Rattus norvegicus: one gene and its partners. The protein of the gene in region 1 binds, or shares a complex with, the protein of each later gene. Links are inferred from orthologs where the notes say so. Each region holds a gene or a part of one and is shown on either strand. Other genes may lie near its edges.

Region 1 (3,647 bases):
TAAGAAGCATGACAAGAGTTAACTTTGTGATCCGAATCTTTCCTTTAATAATTTTTTAAAAAGTAATTTGTCAACTATGTCTCTAGCATGTCATCCGAGCACAGCGGGCCATCAACAACGAGATGGCACACCAGTTATATGTTCTCCAAGTGCTGACCTTTAACCTTCTGGAAGATAGGATGATGACCAAGATGGACCCCCAGGACCAGGTAGGTGAATGATCCACACAAATATAATGAGAAACAGCAAGACAGTGCATCAAATGTCTGCCTTTTAGTGACACTCAAATCAGGAGTCTTATATGATCTTATAATTGTTTTATCAACATCTCAGAACTTGGGTATATGGCTTTAGAATTTAGGTGACCCTAGCATCAGAGAATAAAACAGATGGGCTATTCCATATGTCCCATACACATGCATATTTTTTTTTTACAGTTAAGAGCTTGAGGTCAAAGCCATACTTGACCATACTACATTAAGTGGGGTCAAGTTCCCATTGAGGGCATCAATTCTACAAGTGGGAGTGGTTTCCATTCTCCAGTTACTAAGACCAAAGGCGGTTCTTCCCTGTCCCTGGTGCACCCTCACTTCTAGGCTGGTGTTTTTGTTGGCTGACAAGTTTTCTAACTCTCGGCTACCTCCGTCACTGTGTACAAAACATTCTGTTTCCATCCAGAAGGCTTTGGGGGAGCTTCCCTGCGTGAGGGTAGAGTGAGAGGAAGCAGCTGGGAACCCTGCCCCCACTGTACTCATTTTCAACTCAAACAGTGGTGCAGCTGTGGAAAGGAAAACAGTCATTATTGGCACATGAGGGCCTGATCTACTGCAGATGCTGAGCTGCACATGTGGGACGTGTGGCTGCTGCAGCCCTTCATTCATGGCTTGAGACTGACGAGGTGCTTGGATAGGCCAATGATTGTGCCCCATGCTTTTTTTCTGGCAGCCAAACATGGTAATCTGAGGGAGATAAGACGAGTTATCTTTCTACTTGGAGTGAGGGAGATCGGTACTCTTAACATGGAGCAACACTCTTTATTTGTAAATGCTTCCTCTTGTTTATTGAAAAAACAAGCACATAGCATAATTAATCATTTTAATCACTAACTGCATTCACATTGTTATAACTTCCCTGCATTTATCTCCATGCCTCTTTGTGTGTTGCCAAACTGAATTTCTGTGCCCGTTGAAACCATATTTGCTCTCCTTCCCGTTCCTCCCATCCTTCTGGCTCTTTATAAGTTACCCCTCTGCTTCTTGTTTTTATTAATTTGGCTCTTCTAGGAGGCCTCGATGAGTAAAAAATGTATTTGTGGCTTTTTCTATCTCACCTGTTCTACTCGGCCTATTTAATTTTTTATTATATTTTTTTGTATTTTAGATTGTAGCATATTTAATTACATTATTACCCTCCTCCTTTCATCTCTCCCACCCTTCCTATATACTGACCTTCCTTGGTTTTAAATTCATGGCCTCTTTTTCTTTAGATGTTGTTACATATGTATATAAGTATCTGTATGTGAACTTCTAAATACATAAATACAACCCGTTCAGTCCATATAATATCACTCATATGTGATTTCTGGGCTGGACATTTGGTCTTAGATAACCAGGGGAAGATGATCTCTCTTTCTGTTAGCATCCTTAGTTACCTTTCTCCTTCTCCACATTAGCATGTCCATTGGTGTCATCCTTGTTCCGGTGTTCTTTAAGCAGTCCTGTTGGTGGTACTTCATAGGCGCAGCGTCCCTGACATTTCTAGGAGACACACTCTCTTTGCAAATTTGTAAAGTTCTTCCCTATGGTAATATGTTGATAATTTGCTCCTGGCTAAGGCTAACAACATCCCAACACCACACTCAACCTTGGAAAAACACTTGCCATTGTTTCTGCCTTTGGGCCCTCTCTTTTATTTTTATCTTGTTCTTGTTTCCATGAAGTCAGGCCTCGGTCGAGTGAGAGATCTCTCATAGTTAAAATATTGCCCAAGAGCCATGTGAACATCTCTTAATTTGTTTCAAACAGAATATTACTCAAACACTCTCACGTTTAGCCTTCGCCAACATCAGTCCTTCTGTTGTATTTGAGGCTTTTATGTAGGACCGTCCTAGATAATATTTATCATTGCTCCAAATGGCTTGACTGAGGGATAGATTAATGCTGAGCCTGAGCAGAGAGGAGTCTGGGTTCTCACTGAGGACGCGTCTTGTCTTCTCTCTTCTGCTTCGCCTGAATGCAGTGACTGGTTTAGACTCTGGGCAACAGGTCAGGGGGGAGTCTTCTGTCACACACAGTGAAAGCAACTTTCTTACTTTTTGCCTCTTTTCTTCACCCCTCTAACGCCTTTAGGCCCAAAGGGACATCATATTTGAACTTCGAAGGATTGCTTTTGATGCAGAGTCAGAACCGAATAATAGCAGCGGCAGCATGGAGAAACGCAAGTCCATGTACACTCGGGATTATAAAAAACTTGGCTTCATTGTAAGTACTCTGTCTCCAGGATGCTCTCCCCTCCCACCCTCCCCATCTGACCTCAGTCGTATCGAACGTGTGGTCCTCTTGTGCTTTACAGAATGGTTTCCACATTTCCAGATGTTTAGCTGGTTTAAATAGGATCACATGGAAATCTCTTCTGGCTGCGGTGCAGTGGAATACGTTGCACAAGTGTGACTAATCCTTCGCTTGTTTATCCAGTTCTGATTAAGTGTCATGGAGAGCAGTTAGGCTGGAACACATCGAGCCTTCCTGAGCCTCCTTCAAAAGCCTCCATGGTTCTCCTGAGTGGAATGAAAGATGACAGTTCTAGGAGGCTTCTTATTATTGGGCTAGTGATTGGATTATGCAGATGCATTGATTCCATATTTAAAGAAAGCTGGAAGTCTGGAGTTGAGTCATCATGAGATTATATATAGTTTATGTTTCTTAAAACATCTTATCTTGCTTCAGATGTTAATGGGTTGTTCCTTACACACACACACACACACACACACACACACACACACACACACACACACTTTACAAATCAGAATGCAACATGTGTTGAATCTAACCAGCTGTCGTGGTTGTTGCCTGCTTAGGGATAGCATCACTGTTCTGAGAATGACCTTTAGCTAACTTGAAATTCCGCAGTTGTCAAATTAGGTTTCCATTTTGGCCTCCAACATAAATGATACAAATAGTATGCTGGCTTGAAGGTTAGAAAATACTAGGCAATAGTTTTTATTTAAGATACATTTTTCTCCAAATAAAACAAAACAAACCCTCAGATAGGGTTTTGATTGTGCGAAATTGCTTTGTTATAAGCATCTAGTAATTAGCTTTTTATCTAGAGTACATCAAAGTGACCATTTTTCAACTTTGTAATAATGTCTCTTTAATTTAAAAAAGTTCAAACTATTGATTTTATGGTGTTAATGTCTTTCTGAGTAGAATATTTATTAATAACACATTCATCCTTGCAACTTTCTTAGGAACACTTTTGGGCACTATTTATTTCTCTGTGTTACATCTTTGGTTTTGCCTGTCCATTTGACACTGTAGATGAATTGAGTTGACTGGTGAGACTTTCATGTGTCTTTGTGTCTTTCATGCCACCTCCCCACCTTTGCAGTGTTGCTGGCTGAGACATGTGGGCCAGTTAAGGTGGAC
Region 2 (3,747 bases), on another chromosome or scaffold:
AAATGTTGATTCTCCAGTAAAATTCTGCGCCCAAGGCCTGGGTTGGAAGCACCAGAGGGCGCCCACGAGGCCGCCCACTCGCTTGTCTCCAGGGCCCAGGCCGGACCTCAAGCCTGGGTGCGGTCCTACCGCTCCAAGCAGCCGCGCGCCAAGGCAAGATCAGGGAACAAGAAGAGCCCCACGTCTTCCCACGCCCCGCCCCCTCCCCAGGGCCCCGCGGAGCCGCGAGGTGCGGAACCACGACACGACATCCTGTTTTGGGGGCCCGCGCGGCTCCGCCTGCATCTCTGCTGATCATGTCTTTTCCCGGGGTGCTGACGGCAGCTGCCCTGCCCCCACCTCTATCTCCCCACCCTCCCCAGGGGTCTGGAACCTTCCCACTGCTGAATCACCAACACCCGGCACTCTCCCAAGGCTCAGGGCAGGGGTGGGGACTGCCCCAGCCTGACCCATTCCGGCTAATCCCTAGCCAGCCATGGCTACCTCTAGATTCCCGGGCAGAGCGGAAGGCATTTCTCAGCCTTCCCGCGGAGGTTGCGGGGCGGGGAGTGAGATACTAGGAAGAGAACAAATGCCCTGCGCCTAGCTTAGGGCCCCTGCTAGGGTGGGATGCCAAGTGAAAGTGGGGAGACCTGACCTTGAGAGGCCACACTCAAGGGGTCTCAGGGAGAAGAGTGGCGGGAAGCAGGGGGTGCAGGACTGTGCGGCGGGCAAAGCTTACAGAAGACCCCAGGCTGTGGAGGGTGGGGGAGGCCGCGGACTTCCTGGTCCGCCCCGCCCGGGCCGGCCCGCCCCCGCGCCCCGCCCCGGCCCCGCCGGCCCGTCCCCCACCCCCCCACTTCCTCCGGCCTCCAGCTCTCACTTCCTTCTTGAGCCCAGAGCCGCCGCCGCCGCCCCCAGCTCCCCCGCCGCGGGGAGGGCACCAGGTGAGGCCAGGGTCGGGCCTGGTGGGCAGGGGTCCTGGGAAGAAGAGTTCAGCCGGTCGGGACTGAGTACCCACGAGCCGGGGAGTTTGCAGGAGGGAGGACGAGGGCGGGAGGTTTTCGTTCACTGCAAGTTGGGCGGGCGCGGCAGGCCGGGCGGGGACAGCGGCCACCGCGAGCCGATCGCTGGTGGCTGGGTTGAGTGTGGGATCCCAGGGACAGCGCGGGCTTCTGCTGTCTGCGAGGGACCCCTGAGATCCGAACCGTGAGAGGCTCGGAAGTGGGAAAGCGCTGAGCTGGTGAGGCTGGGACTCTGCGGTGGGGTGCCCTCCGAAGTTGTGGGGGGTTGTTCAGTAGTGTGTGAAAGGAAAGGGCCTCTGGGCTGCAGAAGGCGCGCTCTCTGCTCTGCAGTTGTGACATTTGTGAGACTGGGGTGTGGGGGTTGGGGGGCGGTGTCTGGGGCCTCTGAAGTCTGAGACTGCAGAGAAAGGTCTCACCCGGGAAGGTCGGAGCCAGTCCATAGCTACACTGTTGCTGCTGAGGATGAGGTGGGGGAATCCCCATTCCCTCTCTCAGTTTTTTTCTGAGCCAACCTCTTTATTCCTATCCCATGCAACAACAGGTATTTAGTGAACACGTCTGTTGTGTCTATCTGACTCAATCTGGCCTTGCTTTTTTTTTTTTTTTTTCCGGATAAACCTAGGAAGGAAAGGGCCTCCATACCGATAGTCGCTGACAACTTACGGGACTTTGAGAAGCAGCTGGAGTTCTGACTTAGGGGAATGATTGAGAGCTCTTAAGACGTCTCCCTCACCTGAATTCCACATACTGTCTTCCTCCACTCTCCTTCGTGTCTACCACATTCTCCTTCAGTTTCTTTTCCCCCAGCCACATTGATGTATGCAGGCCCTGATACATTTACTCTGCCCTGTTGTTTTCTGCTCAGTTCTCTGCTCTCTCCCCATTCCATCTCTTCCCATCCTCTGACTGCCACACACATCTCTCCCCATTTTGTTTCTGTCTTCCCTGCCGCCCTCAGTCTTTCTCCTTTCCTTGGTCTGTACTCTAACTTTGGTGTCAGAAACTGCTTTAGACTTGCTGACTTTAGGAGCCTTTTTCGAGCCTCTTTAGCTTAGTGGAGATGCTGGCTGCAGCCTTCCAAGGATGGAGATGATTAAAGGGCTGGAAACATGTGCACACGCGCGTGAACATGCAAGTTCTGGTGTGTCAACATCTTTATCTCTTAGAGACAAAATAACTATCTGCCCTCAGCCTTGAGAAGTCCCAGAGCAGAAGCCGGCAGAATGAAGGGAACCTGCGGTGGGTGACACTGTGGTTAGGCAGGGGAAGCAGTCTGTAGCAGCCAGAGTTGAGTGACACAAGAATAAGACTAGTTAGAAAGTCCATGGGAAATCAAACTACCCTGATTCTTCCCAGTCTCCTAGCACTTACTGATTCTAAGGAGTGGGGAGAGTGTGTTGGGCCATTTGGTCTGCTAGGAAAAGGAAGGGGGCAAAGGCAAGATTCTGGAGGGAAAGCTGCAGCAAGTCTAACTTAAGTCTCTACTGTTTTTTTAAAATTTTGATCAGGAAAGGGCTTCGAGGCAAGGGTGTTTGTCCTTCCTCCCTGCTGCTCGGTGGGGACTGCAGACATTGGGTATCTACATTTTCTGGTGTGTGTCAATGCCTTCACTGGGAGTTGTACTGACCCTCCTGTCTTTAAGCATCCGTGATGTTCTCTTCTTACCAAGGTCTCTATTCCCGCTCTCTGAGGGGTTTCTCCAAAGTCTAACGTAGTCTGTCCTGGCCCTGTAAGTGCTTGTCTCCATTCTGGAGCCCCTCCTCAGCCTTTGGATTACATGCTCAGATTTTGTTTGTCTCTGCCTCCACTGCTCTTCTTCTCTCCATGAGAATAAAGAGAAGTGGAGGAGAGCAAATGTCACATTTGGGGGATCGTCGAGCACAGCTAAATTTAAGAGCTAGGCTCCTTCCCTTTCCTATCCTCTTACCACCTCACAGTTGTCCCTCTCCCATCAATTGTTCCTTCCTCTGGGCCTGCCCTTCTCCACCTGTCTTTCCTACTCTCATTTCTGGGAGGTACAGAGGTTTGGCCCCACGGAGGAAATCCAAGGGATCTGTATTAAATCCCAGCTCGGGAAAGGATGTGCATACGGCACATTTTCTTGGCATCACAGCTCAATAAAAGTCGTCAGGAGCCCTGATTCTTAGCTTGACAAACCAGTACTGAGTTTAGCATTTGGTATAACTAAGCAACCCACAAGGCTCCGAGAGCAGAGATAATGGTGGCAGTAACAGGGTTTTTTTCTCTTAGGCAAGATCTGGCCACATTGGAAATTTGAGCTAATTGCAAGAAGAGTGTGACCAGGATGGGAGGAATCTAAGTAGGAAAACGCTGTGGATGGTTAAGGTAATATGAGAAGTGGTAGGGTGACGATGCTGCTCGTCCTGCTTAGCAGTCTGGGCTATGGAGAGTCGCTTCAGGGAAGATGTTAAGGCAGATGATAGTAGCTATTGAGGGGCTATGAGCAAGAAGATACAAAAGGCTGTGGTTATATGGGCAGCTGTGAAGATACGGGTGATAGTAGCTGGAGAACAGAGAATACAGAAGGGTGCTGGGCACAGTCTGAAAAACCTCTTCTTTCATGTAGCGTCGATCCATTAGAGGTGAGGTTTGTAGGGGTCTGTGAGAGGACCTTCGAAGGGAAACCAAAGACAAAGCCTGGGCCACCTCCCCAGATCAGACTGGTTTTCCTGTCCAGGGTCCAGCTTCCTCTTTTGTCCTCATCTCACATGGGGGGAGGGCA
Region 3 (3,647 bases), on another chromosome or scaffold:
CAGTAAAGCACCTACTGTACAAGCTGGAAGACCTGGGTTAGAATCCATAGCACCCAGATCAAAGCCAGGTGTGACAGCACACATATAGAACCCTAGTGCTGGAGTTGAATGGTGATAGGCAGATTCTGACAGCTCATTGACCAGCCAATCCAGCCAATCTGTGAGCATCTCTGTCTTGAAAAGTAAGGTGGAAAGTGATAGAGGAAGATACTCAATGCTGACCTCTGACCTTCAGATGCTTGCATGTGGCATGTACACATGTGCACATACCCACAAGAGAACAAATATATAACACACAGGGGAGAGGGTAAATGTCTTAGTCAGGGTTTCTATTCCTGCACAAACATCATGACCAAGAAGCAAGTTGGGGAGGAAAGGGTTTATTCAGCTTACACTTCCACATTGCTGTTCATCACCAAAGGAAGTCAGGACAGGAATTCAGGCAGGTCAGGAAGCAGGAGCTGATGCAGAGGCCATGGAGGGATGTTACTTACTGGCTTGCTTCCCCTGCCTTGCTCAGCTTGCTTTCTTATAGAACTCAAGACCACCAGCCCAGGGATGGCACTACCCACAGTGGGCCCTCTCACCGTTGATCACTAATTGAGAAAATGCCTTACAGCTGGGTTTCATAGAGGCATTTCCTCAAGGGAGACTCCTTTCTCTGTGGTAACTCCAGCTTGTGTCAAGTTGACACACAAAACCAACCAGTACAGTAAACATTCACTAATATTTTCTCCCTTTCATATGATAATCTCATTTCTGTATTTTTACCCTGACTTGTTTGTTTGGTCATCAGACTCTGGGAACCTGAGAAGCTAGGCAAAAACGGAGTTGAGGGCTTTGCTAGTGCATTGGAATGAAGTCTTTTACTGGGATTAATGTTTTGTGACTTTTGACCTTCCCGGCTGACAGTTCCATCCTGGAACCACTGTTTGAACGAAGAGCTTCATCAGGTGCCAGAGTTGAAGATCTGCCACCCAAAGAAGACAGTGAGAACCGGATTAGCAAGTTCAAGAGGAAAGACTGGAGTCTGAGCAAGTCACAAGTCATTGCAGAGAAAGCTCCAGAACCTGATATGATGGTAGAGGGAGGGAGGGAGGGAGGGAGGGAGGGAAGGAGGGAGGGAAGGAGGGAGGGATCAGAGCAAGCAAACACCGCTGGTACCTGTTCCTTCACTGCACAGCAGTGAATTATAGATAAAAACCTGGCCGCAGCTGGTCTTAGGACACAGCAGCCTGTGCTGGTGTCAAAGCACAGATGGTAGGAAGAAGTGCATACACAGAGAGGCTCAAGTCTCCAAGTCAACACTGCACAAGGTCTCATCCCCACAGCGGAAACACATGGGCTGCTCTTGAAACTGTGGCTCTTGCCACTGTGTTCCATGAGTCAGTGCAAACATTTTCATTTCACTTTTGAACTTTAAAACAGACACTTTTTCCTCTTCCATAGTCAAGTTCTTGTGTTTGCAAGACCTAGCTTTTGCTGAGAGTCAAGGTAGTTTCCAACTTAGTTGGCTCAGTGTGTGTGGTCACAATCAAGGAGGGGCCAGGCCAGAACTGACCTGTATTTTGGAGTCATTCCCAGAAAGTATCTCTGCCAAGCGCCTACTATGTAACAATGCAGTAACCTTAAAAGTGACCACTGGAGAGGGTGGGGAGGGTCAGTAGGTAAACACTTGCCACAGCAAGTGTGAGGAGTGGGTGGATGTCACGGCTTGCGTGCAATTTCAGTGCCTGGCTAAAGACACTGAGCGGTGTGCTCAGCTATATAGTAGAGTCAGATAACCCAGGGAAGCTGGCCCTCACATGTGTCTGCACCCACACACACTTGAGAACAGAAAGAAGAGGCCATTGGAATTAACCCTTTCTGTTAGTTTCTGCCTAGCATCTAAGGTATTACTAAGGTCAGCCATGTCCGCCATGTTTAATTTTTTTGGTTTCTCCCTTCATCTTCAGAGCCCAGGCAAAAAAACACAAAGGCCAAAGAGTCTCCAGTTGGTGGACAGCCGGCTGACACCATTCCACAGTCCCTCACCTCTGCAGTCTACAGTCTTGAGCCCACCTCCACTCACTCCCAAAGCCATGAGAACCCTAAGTGAGTTTTCCTATGTCTCCTAGATTCGTTCGGCTAGGGAATAGAGAAGGGCCATGAATCCAGGCACTTCTTAATCAAAGCAGTCACAAGTTGTGTGAAGCTGTTTGAGAGGTGATTCCGTCCAGTGGCCATTGGAATCATCAAAGGACTGGAATTTGGGGTACACTTATTCAGTAGCAGTCCTAAGGGTCTGCTGACCCTTTCCAACCACGAAGAGCAGAGTTAGACCCATTCAGGGCAATGAACAGACCCACCTAATAAACCTCTGTCAACCTGAGACCAACCAACTGCAGCACTTGGAACAAACTCAAGGGTTCCCATGGCACAGAGGCATAGGGAGCACACATCTGCCAGTGCCAAATAGGGACAATGATCAAGAGTTAGGTACAGCCAAGTGAAGGTTCCTGCAGCTCCTGTGTATTTCCTAAATACTTGGGGTTCGTCAGAGAGTTCCTAAGGTTAGAAAATATTCTCATCGTCCACTTAAGAGGAAGCATAGGAGTGTGCACATCAGAATTCCATGTGAGGCTTTCTGGTGGATTAAAGAGCACTTGTGGCCATGTGGGTACAAGATCTTCTCCATTCTTTCTATAGAAACCTCGGAAATGTCCACAGCAATGTGGGATCTGAGTAAGTCCTCACTCCGTCTCTTTTGTATCATGTCCAGGCTCCCCATCTTTGCAGACGGATGGGCTGATGGCTTCTGTCCCTCCTCCACCTCCCCCCAAAAACAAACCATACGAGAGCAGTCAGAGGAACTCGGCTGAGGTAGGAACCTGCAGGTTGCTGGCAGTGTGGCCACCAAGCACAACGCCTGGGAAGACATCACGGGATTGTCCACGCTGTGAAGTGGGAAGGGGTTCCCCTACACATGGCATTATATATCCAGTGCCTGGTTCACTCCTGAAGCCTCGGGAGATGGGAAGGGAAACATGCCAGAGGCCTGCTTCACATAGTCAAGTGACCGAGAGAAGCCGCGCTCTCTGCTTCCCACAGCTGGTGGTGAGATAAGTTCACACCAAAGCCTGGCTTCTGAATGACAGGCGGCTGCTCTGCAGTAGACTCAGATGGGTTTCATTCCTCCTTTCAGTAAATATTTACTAAGTGCTTCTTAAGTACATTCGAGCTACCCAAACACTAGTGATGCAGCCATGAGTAAGTGTGTGTGTGTGTGTGTGTGTGTGTGTGTGTGTGTGTGTGTGTGTGTGTGTGCGTTCATCAAGCTCAAGGGAAGAGGACAAATGAGTACCGTTCCCTTTTTCTCTCATACAGATGGTATAAATAAATGCACATCAAACTTGACAGTAACCCAGATGCATGGAGTCGGAGGGTGACTTAGAAATAACGAAGGAACTGTTTCTAATTCCATGTGTCTTCTCCCCAGATTGCTCCCCCGCTGCCTGTCCGGAGAGATGCCAAAGCCCCACCTCCACCCCCTCCAAAGGCTCGAAAATCAAGCATCCTCTCTTCTGAGCCAGGCTCTCAGTGAGGCTGTCACCCTGGCTTTGTACCTCCAAGTGCTTTGGACCACTGCTTCCTGAGAAGGGCGCCCA

What was found.
Region 2: the proteins of Elmo1 (region 1) and Rhog are in contact, whole or in part, in a crystal structure (PDB 7Y4A), measured with the Homo sapiens proteins. The link is inferred for Rattus norvegicus from reciprocal best matches to the Homo sapiens genes ELMO1 and RHOG. Residues at the interface, in NP_001193409.1 of Homo sapiens: Lys9, Val10, Ala11, Glu13, Tyr18, Pro19, Leu21, Met22, Ala54, Asn71, Gly72, Ile74; in NP_001656.2 of Homo sapiens: Val36, Phe37, Asp38, Trp56, Tyr64, Arg66, Leu67, Leu70, Ser71, Pro73, Gln74.
Region 3: the proteins of Elmo1 (region 1) and Dock5 are in contact, whole or in part, in a cryo-EM structure (PDB 8JHK), measured with the Homo sapiens proteins. The link is inferred for Rattus norvegicus from reciprocal best matches to the Homo sapiens genes ELMO1 and DOCK5. Residues at the interface, in NP_001193409.1 of Homo sapiens: Ile7, Val8, Lys9, Ala11, Tyr18, Pro19, Leu21, Glu23, Glu36, Asp39, Gly40, Ser42, Asn71, Gly72, Gln392, Asp393, Leu400, Glu401, Lys468, Arg531, Glu535, Leu536, Lys539, Leu547, Gln550, Gln551, Asn554, Arg555, Asn582, Thr688; in NP_079216.4 of Homo sapiens: Met1, Ala2, Arg3, Trp4, Val14, Ala15, Ile16, Tyr17, Asn18, Ser22, Gln23, Gln30, Ile31, Gly32, Asp33, Thr34, Glu39, Tyr41, Gly43, Trp44, Arg46, Tyr48, Lys56, Ile58, Pro60, Glu61, Thr62, Tyr63, His65, Leu66.

The regions. Positions count from the first base shown.
Region 1 is NC_086035.1:49,305,060-49,308,706, reverse strand, and holds part of Elmo1 (engulfment and cell motility protein 1), read left to right. Parts: intron 1-86; coding exon 87-209; intron 210-2,348; coding exon 2,349-2,480; intron 2,481-3,647. UniProt on the Homo sapiens protein: Involved in cytoskeletal rearrangements required for phagocytosis of apoptotic cells and cell motility. Acts in association with DOCK1 and CRK. Was initially proposed to be required in complex with DOCK1 to activate Rac Rho small GTPases.
Region 2 is NC_086019.1:166,039,355-166,043,101, reverse strand, and holds the start of Rhog (rho-related GTP-binding protein RhoG), read left to right. Parts: upstream 1-900; 5' UTR 901-926; intron 927-967; exon of another isoform or gene 968-1,222; intron 1,223-3,254; exon of another isoform or gene 3,255-3,350; intron 3,351-3,747.
Region 3 is NC_086033.1:46,159,464-46,163,110, reverse strand, and holds part of Dock5 (dedicator of cytokinesis protein 5), read left to right. Parts: intron 1-912; coding exon 913-1,081; intron 1,082-1,955; coding exon 1,956-2,094; intron 2,095-2,761; coding exon 2,762-2,862; intron 2,863-3,478; coding exon 3,479-3,583; 3' UTR 3,584-3,647. UniProt on the Homo sapiens protein: Guanine nucleotide exchange factor (GEF) for Rho and Rac. GEF proteins activate small GTPases by exchanging bound GDP for free GTP. Along with DOCK1, mediates CRK/CRKL regulation of epithelial and endothelial cell spreading and migration on type IV collagen.